Schizosaccharomyces pombe: one gene and its partner. The gene in region 2 interacts genetically with the main gene of each other region. Each region holds a gene or a part of one and is shown on either strand. Other genes may lie near its edges. The genes, in order: alg6 and vrg4.

Region 1 (4,976 bases), on a different chromosome or scaffold from region 2:
AAAGCTTTTTATTTTTTAACGTATCTTTTACCGTTGTTTCATTTAATCCTATTTTTGTAAACTTGGCACGTAACTCCTCATAATCCTGGTCCATTTTAGTATAATAAAACTTCCCTCCAAAAAATGTATAAGTATTGCAATAACAGCAAACGCGATGAAAAATGAGAGGGTACGGTTAAGTTTTTAATAAAGCTGTTATTATCTTTCAATTCATGTGATAAGCTCCTATCATTGCGTTAATCTGCATAACAGCGGAGTAGGGAACTAATCTTAAAAATCGTTAAGTTAATAAAAGTAGTTTCAGTATTAAATTAAAATTTAAAACATTTTGTTTACGGTTTGAAAATTAAAACAGGAATTCACACTTTTGCGCTTTTGAGATATTTTTAATTTTTTTTAAAAAAATAGAGAACGCAAAATGCTTTCCGAATCTTTGTTTTTTTCCTTTAAATGAATAGTTGTTTATCGGTTCTAAGCTCTTGCCTAGTAAGGCTTTTTTGCTTTCACTTTAATACTCAAGGGAGGATGATTCTTTATTGCTATAAAAGTTTAGATTTTAAAAACAGCATCAACCACTGTAGTGTACAAATGAATTTCATTTGCCCGCCAAGCAGTTAGTATGTTTTTATTCATTCAATCTGGTATCTCTTCTCAAACGAATGTACTTTTGGGTATTTTAATTAAATTTAATCTAATTAGGTTTTAAATTTTCATAAAATATATAAATAACTATTTGTGAGTCCTTGAAAATATTTCATTTAGCTTAAGCATAAATATTGAAATTATTCTGAAGAGTAAACAATATACAAACAATGCGAGAATGCAAATAATGTTAGTAACTATACAACTTCAGTTTCTATTTCAAATCGTTTTACAAAAAATTAAACTAAACATATGATTAGTAAATATCGCTTAAAATTATACAAATAATGGAGATTTCACAGTGTTCCATCAACGCAAAAAGAAAATATTAGGATAATGCTTGCTTTTACTTAAAACTGTAACAGACCAAGAAATAATTTTACAATATTATTATGAATTCTGGTTTTAAAAGCATGATTTTTCGTCAAACCGTCGCTTTTTTTTTTAGCCCAACAAGGGTTTTCTTTAGAAATTATCATGAACGAAAAGACTTTTAAAATTTCAAAGCTCTTAATTGCAGCTACAAATTCGAGATCAATTACATAGTAAATGTATTAAGGGAATTATTTTTCTTAGCATGTTCTTTGCTAATAAGATTTTCGTTAGAGCTAAATTATTAAACAGCAAACAATTAAGTAATATATTTCAGTTCATTGAATTTAATGGGCTAGTATCACTGAAACAAACTCCTAACTTGCCAAGCTCAATTTATTCTAACATTTACCTATCTTAAGAGAAAAGTAAATCAGTCAATAAGTGATACAGCTTAATTTTCATGTTTATCAACTCATTTTTTATGTTATTGCTCACCCTTGGATCAATTATGTAGTGATAACTTTGCGCGTATTTAATTTTTAGGCTTTGAAACTGAAAATAAAAAATAAGAAAGAAAGAATGAATTAAAAAGTGAATTGATTTTTTTGGACATTATAAAACCATATTTCACGATGATCGCAATGGTGGACCCATAGTCCACTTCGTGGTTCCCAACCCATTTCACTGTTATCCCAACTTGTATCTGCTTTGAATTAGCTTTTCCTTGTTTAAAACATTCCGGATACAAATTCACTCGTTTTTTAATCTTTAAGCTTTCCAAGTTGGATATTTTAATTTAGAAACCCAAAGTTTTAAAGCGAAATCCTTACCGTTTGACGGCCGCTTAAAACATGCTATCTGAGTTTGAGAATGGGGCTCCCGTTCAACAATTCGTTTCTCGTTTTCGATCCTATTCATCTAAATTTTTATTTTTTCCATGCCTTATAATGAGTTTAGTTTTCATGCAATGGCTTATATCTATCGGTCCTTATTCTGGGTATAATACACCTCCTATGTATGGCGATTTTGAAGCGCAAAGACATTGGATGGAACTAACATTGCATACTCCTGTGTCTCAATGGTATTTTAGAGATTTGCAATGGTGGGGATTAGATTATCCTCCTTTAACAGCATATGTTTCTTGGTTCTTTGGTATAATTGGGCATTATTTTTTCAACCCCGAATGGTTTGCTGATGTCACATCTCGTGGATTTGAAAGTCTTGAATTAAAATTATTCATGAGATCTACTGTTATTGCATCTCATCTTCTAATACTCGTTCCCCCTTTAATGTTTTACTCCAAATGGTGGTCGCGCCGTATACCTAATTTTGTGGACAGAAATGCTAGCCTAATTATGGTCCTTTTTCAACCTGCTTTACTCTTAATTGATCATGGTCATTTTCAGTACAACTGTGTTATGCTGGGTTTAGTTATGTATGCAATCGCTAATTTGCTTAAAAACCAATATGTAGCTGCTACGTTTTTTTTCTGTTTAGCTCTTACGTTTAAACAGATGGCTCTATATTTTGCTCCTCCTATTTTTTTTTACTTATTGGGAACTTGTGTAAAGCCAAAGATTCGTTTCTCAAGATTTATCTTGTTGTCAGTCACAGTTGTTTTTACGTTTTCCTTAATATTATTTCCATGGATTTACATGGACTATAAAACATTGCTTCCTCAAATTCTTCATCGAGTGTTCCCGTTTGCTCGTGGTCTTTGGGAAGATAAAGTTGCTAATTTCTGGTGCACCCTCAACACTGTTTTCAAAATTAGAGAGGTGTTTACTTTACATCAACTCCAAGTAATTAGCTTGATTTTTACTCTCATTTCTATTCTCCCATCTTGTGTTATATTATTTCTTTATCCTCGTAAACGTCTTTTAGCTCTGGGTTTCGCAAGTGCATCATGGGGGTTTTTTTTGTTCTCTTTCCAAGTTCATGAAAAGTCGGTTCTTCTTCCTTTACTTCCCACTTCTATTCTCTTATGTCACGGAAACATTACAACCAAACCATGGATTGCTCTAGCAAACAATCTTGCTGTTTTCAGGTAAAATATACATATTTACTGTTTAAATTATACTAATATTTTTATTAGCTTATGGCCGTTACTGAAAAAAGATGGTCTTGGTTTACAATACTTCACATTAGTATTAATGTGGAATTGGATTGGTGACATGGTAGTTTTCTCAAAAAACGTCCTTTTTCGGTTCATCCAACTGGTAAGACTATTTTTATTATTTGCTATTTTTTTATGCCAGGTGTATTAACTGGATGCAGTCTTTTTATGTTGGTATGATTGTTATTTTGGGAATTGATCTGTTTATCCCACCACCATCCCGTTACCCCGATTTATGGGTCATTCTTAATGTTACGCTTTCATTTGCCGGATTTTTTACTATTTACTTATGGACTCTTGGTCGCTTGCTACACATTTCAAGTAAACTTTCTACTGATTTGCGTAACAAAAAAGAAGCATAAATTGAACAAAATGATTTTATGTTACATTATTACGCGGAAAAATCAACATATAGTAAAGGATTTTATTAAAACAATTCTGGGAGAAGGATTGTTATTCATGACTTCAAATATTAAACGAAAGTTATATTTGCCTGAAATATTATTTTAGCCAAGTAACCTTTTATTAAAAGAACGATTATTAAAGTACCATCATCCCATCGAATTCAACACGACAAAGTTGTAAGCGGTACCAGACCGAGCTTTCTACTTTCGTAGCTGATCTAATGTTCAGTAAAAATTGAAAATATGATAAAACAAAAAAAGACAAATGGGATTGTGTATCGATAAATTAGGAATCCCTAATGACTGCATGCTGAGGTTTAACTTGAGGTTTAGGCTGAGCATCGCTGTTAGGTGAAGCTTCATCTTTAGTGGTAGATGAAAGCGAATTTGTGTCAGCAACTTCAGAACCAGAAGGCACGTCTGACGTTAAATTAGTTGTAACTCTTCTTATAGGTTGCCTTTTCCTCTTTGTAGACGCCGTATGTTTTGGAGTATTCCGTTCGTCAAGACTCATCTGAGAAATTATTTCTTCACACCTTTTATATAGTTCTTTAGATGTCCAAGCCGCATTATTATAAAAAAGAGTAGGATCATCTAATAAAAGACTAATTTCTCGAGGGACTTCACAAAATTTCTCAAAGTTCTCAATCAACAGATGAACAGCCTCGATGGCAAGGAAACTTTCGTCAACAGGATCGTTGCTTTTGGAATATAATATGTTCGGAGTAATTACGGTAGCAAGATTATGAATATCCATTTTGCTTCCCACCTCATCATCGATGTGGGAAAAAGAGGCAACCCAATATAGAAAGCCAAAAATTACCTCCATAGTGTCTCTATGTCCCTTGGGTAGTAAACATATTGTAAGATGCAAAACCCTCATGCGTTCTTCCTCAGACTCCAACTTTGAAGACGTAATGAACAACCCAAATAACTTGAAAGTTAAAAGAGGATCAGGAAGCTCTCTAAGGAATTTTTTCAATAAAGCAGCCAACTGAATGGGTGTTTCTTGCTCATAATCAATTGAATCCGGAGAAACATCGAGCATGTCAGATAGCTCTTTTAACCTACGTATATTTCCGTTCTTTCTAAATACACCAACTACTGACATATCTTTTCTTTTCATAGCAGCCAATGTATTCCCAATAAAGGCAGGAATATGCTTGACACCCACGCCTGTTCCAACCGTCGACTGAGCGTTATTACGCTCAACAAGAATCTCCAATGGCACCCCAAAGGTACCTTTCTTTTTCACGTTCTTTTTTTCGGCATCTTTCCCCTTGAAAGCCTTTCCAAATTTTTCCCAGAAACCACCTTTGCGCAAATCGCTCATTTCCATCAATTCATCAAGTGAATAATAATCCCGTACAAGAGGGTGCAATATTAATACAGCTACGTGCTTGGTAAATAATAATTCTAAATTAGAAAGATCTGAGAGATAACGAATAGGAGCATCTTCTGATTTAGGAGTCAAACCCTTTTGCGTACCATCATTTTTA
Region 2 (4,307 bases):
TCAATTCGACGACAATATTCTTTTTCGGCCATCTCCAAATCCCAATTTCGAAATTCCTCAGAAACATGAATTGCTTCTTGAATATTCGCATTGATGACATCCTCTTTATTGCACAGACTTTCAATAAACAAGATTTTAAACCCGCAATTCTTGAACCTATCATATAAAATACGACGTGTACGTCTAGTACCATTTGTTGCATCGTAAATAGCAACCTGACCTTTCTCTTTAAGTAAAAAAATCTCTAAGTCTGCTAAACATCTCTCAATTGTGTCATTCCTACTAAAAACATGATTTTCTGATGCAGCTGTTATAAGTTAGCAAAGGTACAAAACGTCGACTATAGTTTCAGCTTACCAGATTTCACAGGCGAACTAGTCATTTCCCTAGTGCGTTCGTCTATGTATTTCGCAAGACTGTAAAATCTACAATTAAATCCCAACCACCTCAGATATCTGTCTATCGACACAGCAATATTAGACTTGCCTCTAGCCGGTAAGCCAGACATGATGATTACGAGCTTTCCGGCATGAAAGAGCATACCGCTCTCTGTACTGTAGGGTTGCACACCTCCAAACTTTTCATTATCGAGTAAGGCTTCAGAGCTTCGATTGGCAGCGCGAAGCATGTTTGGATTGATTGCCTGCTCAACCGCAATTGAATTTCTGCGCGACATCGCAACGTCTAATCAAAGCAAGCTGTTTATAATTAGAGTTTTAATATAATATATGCGATTATATATAAATTATTTATAAATTAAATAGGAAGGTCCAAAATCTGATTGAAATGTACTTAAATCCTTTGCAACCACAATGTTTACAATGTGTGCCTTGTATGTGGGTATTTTGATAAATGATTTCCACAAAGGTGAAATATGCAGAATGTTGTTTACAATGAGTGTAATACCAATTCCTACTAAAAACTGCGGTTTGCAAGAGGTCGACTGCTTATATACAGAGAAGAGCTTCTTACAATTGATATGGGCACAATGCTCGTTTAAGACGGATGGCTAAACATCGGTAGTGCTTTACGCAATACATCTGTGGTTGCACTTCGTTAATTAATTTTTAGCAAAGTTAAGCGTGCCCTAATATACCGTACATATCTGCAATTGGAAACGCCCATAGGAGTTTAAGATGCGTAGCTTTCTAATGGTGGGGTATTTTCGCATACTTATACTACATGTTTTGCATTTGCAAGTTCAGTTGATTTTTGATTATTGAAAGTGGCATTGAGAATTACTGAACACTTCCCAACAACTCATAGATTTTTTTAGCCAATTCCATGATTAAAACATGCGAGTACCTAAACGCATGTATATTATTTTATAGTTGTACTTCATCAATCGTCTTCTCTGCGTCAACACTTCTTTCTGCACTTTTACTTTTGAAATAACGTCTTAATAGCTATTATGGTTTAAAGACTAGACTATTATCTACGAAAAAGCGTTTGTAAGTAGCCCACATTGCATTCGTTTATAAATTTATAGTCCAATTGAACGAAACGAAAGATCCATGTAGAAAGGTCATTGTCTATACGGTTATACTCCAATCATCTATTATAATATGAGTCAATTCCCTTGCCTCTCTAGTTCCAACAAATGCTTAAATTGTATATGTATCTGCATCGCGACTTTATATATGATCGACTTCGACTGGAAAACGATCTTCATACACTAAGGAATTTCACAACAATTCAAACACAGCTTTTACAGTAAATGCTCATACTTTGTTGTAAAACATATGAATTGGTGTAACATTAAGTGTGGCTTGCAGGCGAAAATACTCTTTTATAGATGAACAAAAAAGTATTTAAATAATTATATTTTATATGAGAAGACCAAGTTATTTAAGTTTGATCAACAGAGATGTTAATCAATCTGTATGCCAAAACTTGTTACCAATGGACTGTGTCTTTGAGGAAGGGTAAGGCCTGTTACGTACGCGCTCCTTCCAAACATGGTGGGTAGGTATGTAGACAACTTCACCGGAGCCATCACGAAATTCCAACAACAATGGATAATCATATGCTAAACCGAATTAGTAAATCACCGATTCTTCCAGTGGTGTCATATTGCATGGCTTCCATATTGATGACTTTGACCAATAAATATGTTCTTTCGAGTCCTGGTTACAATATGAACTTTCTCCTTTTGACTGTACAATCCACTGTTTGTGTAGCAGCCATTGGGATACTAAAACGTTTGAAAGTTATTAATTATAGGGATTTTGATTTTCGTGAGGCCAAATTTTGGTTTCCTATTTCCTTTTTATTGGTAGCTATGATTTATACTGCATCGAAGGCTTTGCAATTTCTTTCTGTTCCAGTGTACACTATATTTAAGAATTTAACTATTATTATCATTGCTTATGGTGAGGTCCTTTGGTTTGGCGGGCATGTTACTGCTTTAACTCTTTTTTCTTTTGGATTAATGGTTCTTTCTTCTATTGTCGCTGCTTGGGCAGACATCCAGTCTTCCTCATTTGCTTCCCAAACCTTAAATTCTGGCTATTTATGGATGGTGCTTAACTGTCTCACAAATGCTGCTTTTGTTCTCGCGATGCGTAAGCGTATCAAACTTACCAACTTTCGTGACTTTGATACCATGTTTTATAACAACTTACTCAGTATCCCTGTTTTGGTTATCTGCACGCTCTTTACTGAGGACTGGAGTGCTGAAAACATTGCTCAAAATTTCCCTCCTGATGCCAAATTTGGTGTTCTAATGGCTATGGCTATTAGTGGTGTTTCTTCAGTAGGAATTTCTTACACCTCTGCCTGGTGTGTACGCGTAACTTCTTCGACAACTTATAGTATGGTTGGTGCTCTTAACAAACTTCCCTTGGCTATTGCCGGTTTAGTGTTTTTTGATGCACCCATCACTTTTGGATCTGTTACCGCTATTTTGTTGGGCTTTATTTCTGGTGTTGTTTATGCCGTTGCTAAATCTCAACAGCAACGTCAGAAAGATCCTGCTACCATCCTCCCTATGACTCATAATCCCGTTAGTGCTAGTTCTCAAAGCATGCGCGATAGTCTGTCAAAGTCTTAAACCCTTTGTGTTGGTTATTATTTATGTTTAATTTGCAAAATTTTTTCAAGCCTGCATAAGAGAATAGACTTTGTTTCTTTTTACTTAAAAAGTTTTTATTACCGTTACTCAAAATATACCGCTTTTACTCGTGTTCGATAAAAACCTGATTACGAGATCGTGTCGTTTATTACAACGTGACTATTAGGTTTGAAATATTTTGACAGATAAAACACTGACATTCAATTACAATTTTTAGACCTCTATTATTTCATTTCCTAAATCATTTGCTTTTTTTTTCTAAATATCATTTCTTTCTTTAAAATGCTCTCCGATGGAAAAAGGACGTCTAATGTTCTTATGTCTTCGTTTCCTTTTACTGAGCTTCTAAACTATTGGTTGAATGTTTGTCAGCCGCTTGGAGTCGAATTGTTTAGTGATTCAATTTTACTAATATTTTACCTCCAAAAAATTATTTGTTTTTTTGTATATTATTGAAATACTGTAATAAATACAAATACGATAGCTAAGTTAACGAAATGTATCGTGCTAAAAGTTTTCATAGGCCGTCACCTTTCAGTAGGCAAAAACCTACCAACTACCAAAAACGAAGTACAAGAGGTAATTCGTTGCTTGAACTGTCTGTTCAAGTTATAAAAAAATAGGATTTCGGTTTTCGGATTTTTCATAGTGTGTACAAGAACCTTGGGTATAAAAAACTTTAAAACAAATTTTACAAAATGAGTGAGACTGCTGAGAAAGCTATCGAAATTTGGAAAATTCGCCGTTTGGTAAAACAATTGATTAACTGTCATGGAAACGGCACCTCAATGATTACGTTAATTATCCCACCTGGCGAACAAATATCCAGATACAGCAATATGCTTGCCGAAGAGTATGGCACTGCCTCTAACATTAAATCTCGTGTGAATCGTTTATCAGTTCTATCTGCAATTACTTCAACTCGTGAGCGTTTGAAATTGTACAATAAAGTCCCTGATAATGGATTGGTCATTTACTGCGGTGAAGTTATAATGGAGGGCAATAAGACACGCAAGCTCAACATTGATTTCGAACCCTTCAAACCAATTAATACTTCGCAATATCTTTGTGATAATAAATTTCATACTGAAGCTTTAGCAGAATTGCTTGAAAGTGATCAACGCTTCGGATTTATTGTTATGGACGGTCATCAAACTTTATATGGTGTTGTTTCTGGTAGTGCTCGTGAGGTTTTACAACGATTCACTGTCGATTTACCTAAAAAACATGGACG

The links.
Region 1: mutations in vrg4 (region 2) and alg6 are lethal when combined (synthetic lethality), as found in Schizosaccharomyces pombe (one study listed by BioGRID).

What each region holds. Positions count from the first base shown.
Region 1 is NC_003423.3:4,198,535-4,203,510, reverse strand, and holds alg6 (glucosyltransferase Alg6), read left to right. Parts: upstream 1-1,640; 5' UTR 1,641-1,808; coding exon 1,809-3,004; intron 3,005-3,052; coding exon 3,053-3,176; intron 3,177-3,234; coding exon 3,235-3,435; 3' UTR 3,436-3,763; downstream 3,764-4,976. Other genes in the region: glutaminyl--tRNA(Gln) ligase Qrs1, read right to left, coding at 1-94; Rho-type GTPase-activating protein Rga1, read right to left, coding at 3,764-4,976. UniProt on the Schizosaccharomyces pombe protein: Probable dolichyl pyrophosphate Man9GlcNAc2 alpha-1,3-glucosyltransferase that operates in the biosynthetic pathway of dolichol-linked oligosaccharides, the glycan precursors employed in protein asparagine (N)-glycosylation.
Region 2 is NC_003424.3:4,688,156-4,692,462, forward strand, and holds vrg4 (GDP-mannose transporter Vrg4), read left to right. Parts: upstream 1-1,985; 5' UTR 1,986-2,014; coding exon 2,015-3,052; 3' UTR 3,053-3,673; downstream 3,674-4,307. Other genes in the region: SPOM_SPAC144.17C (6-phosphofructo-2-kinase), read right to left, coding at 1-307, 358-676; cytoplasmic translation release factor class I eRF1, read left to right, coding at 3,772-4,307. UniProt on the Schizosaccharomyces pombe protein: Involved in the import of GDP-mannose from the cytoplasm into the Golgi lumen.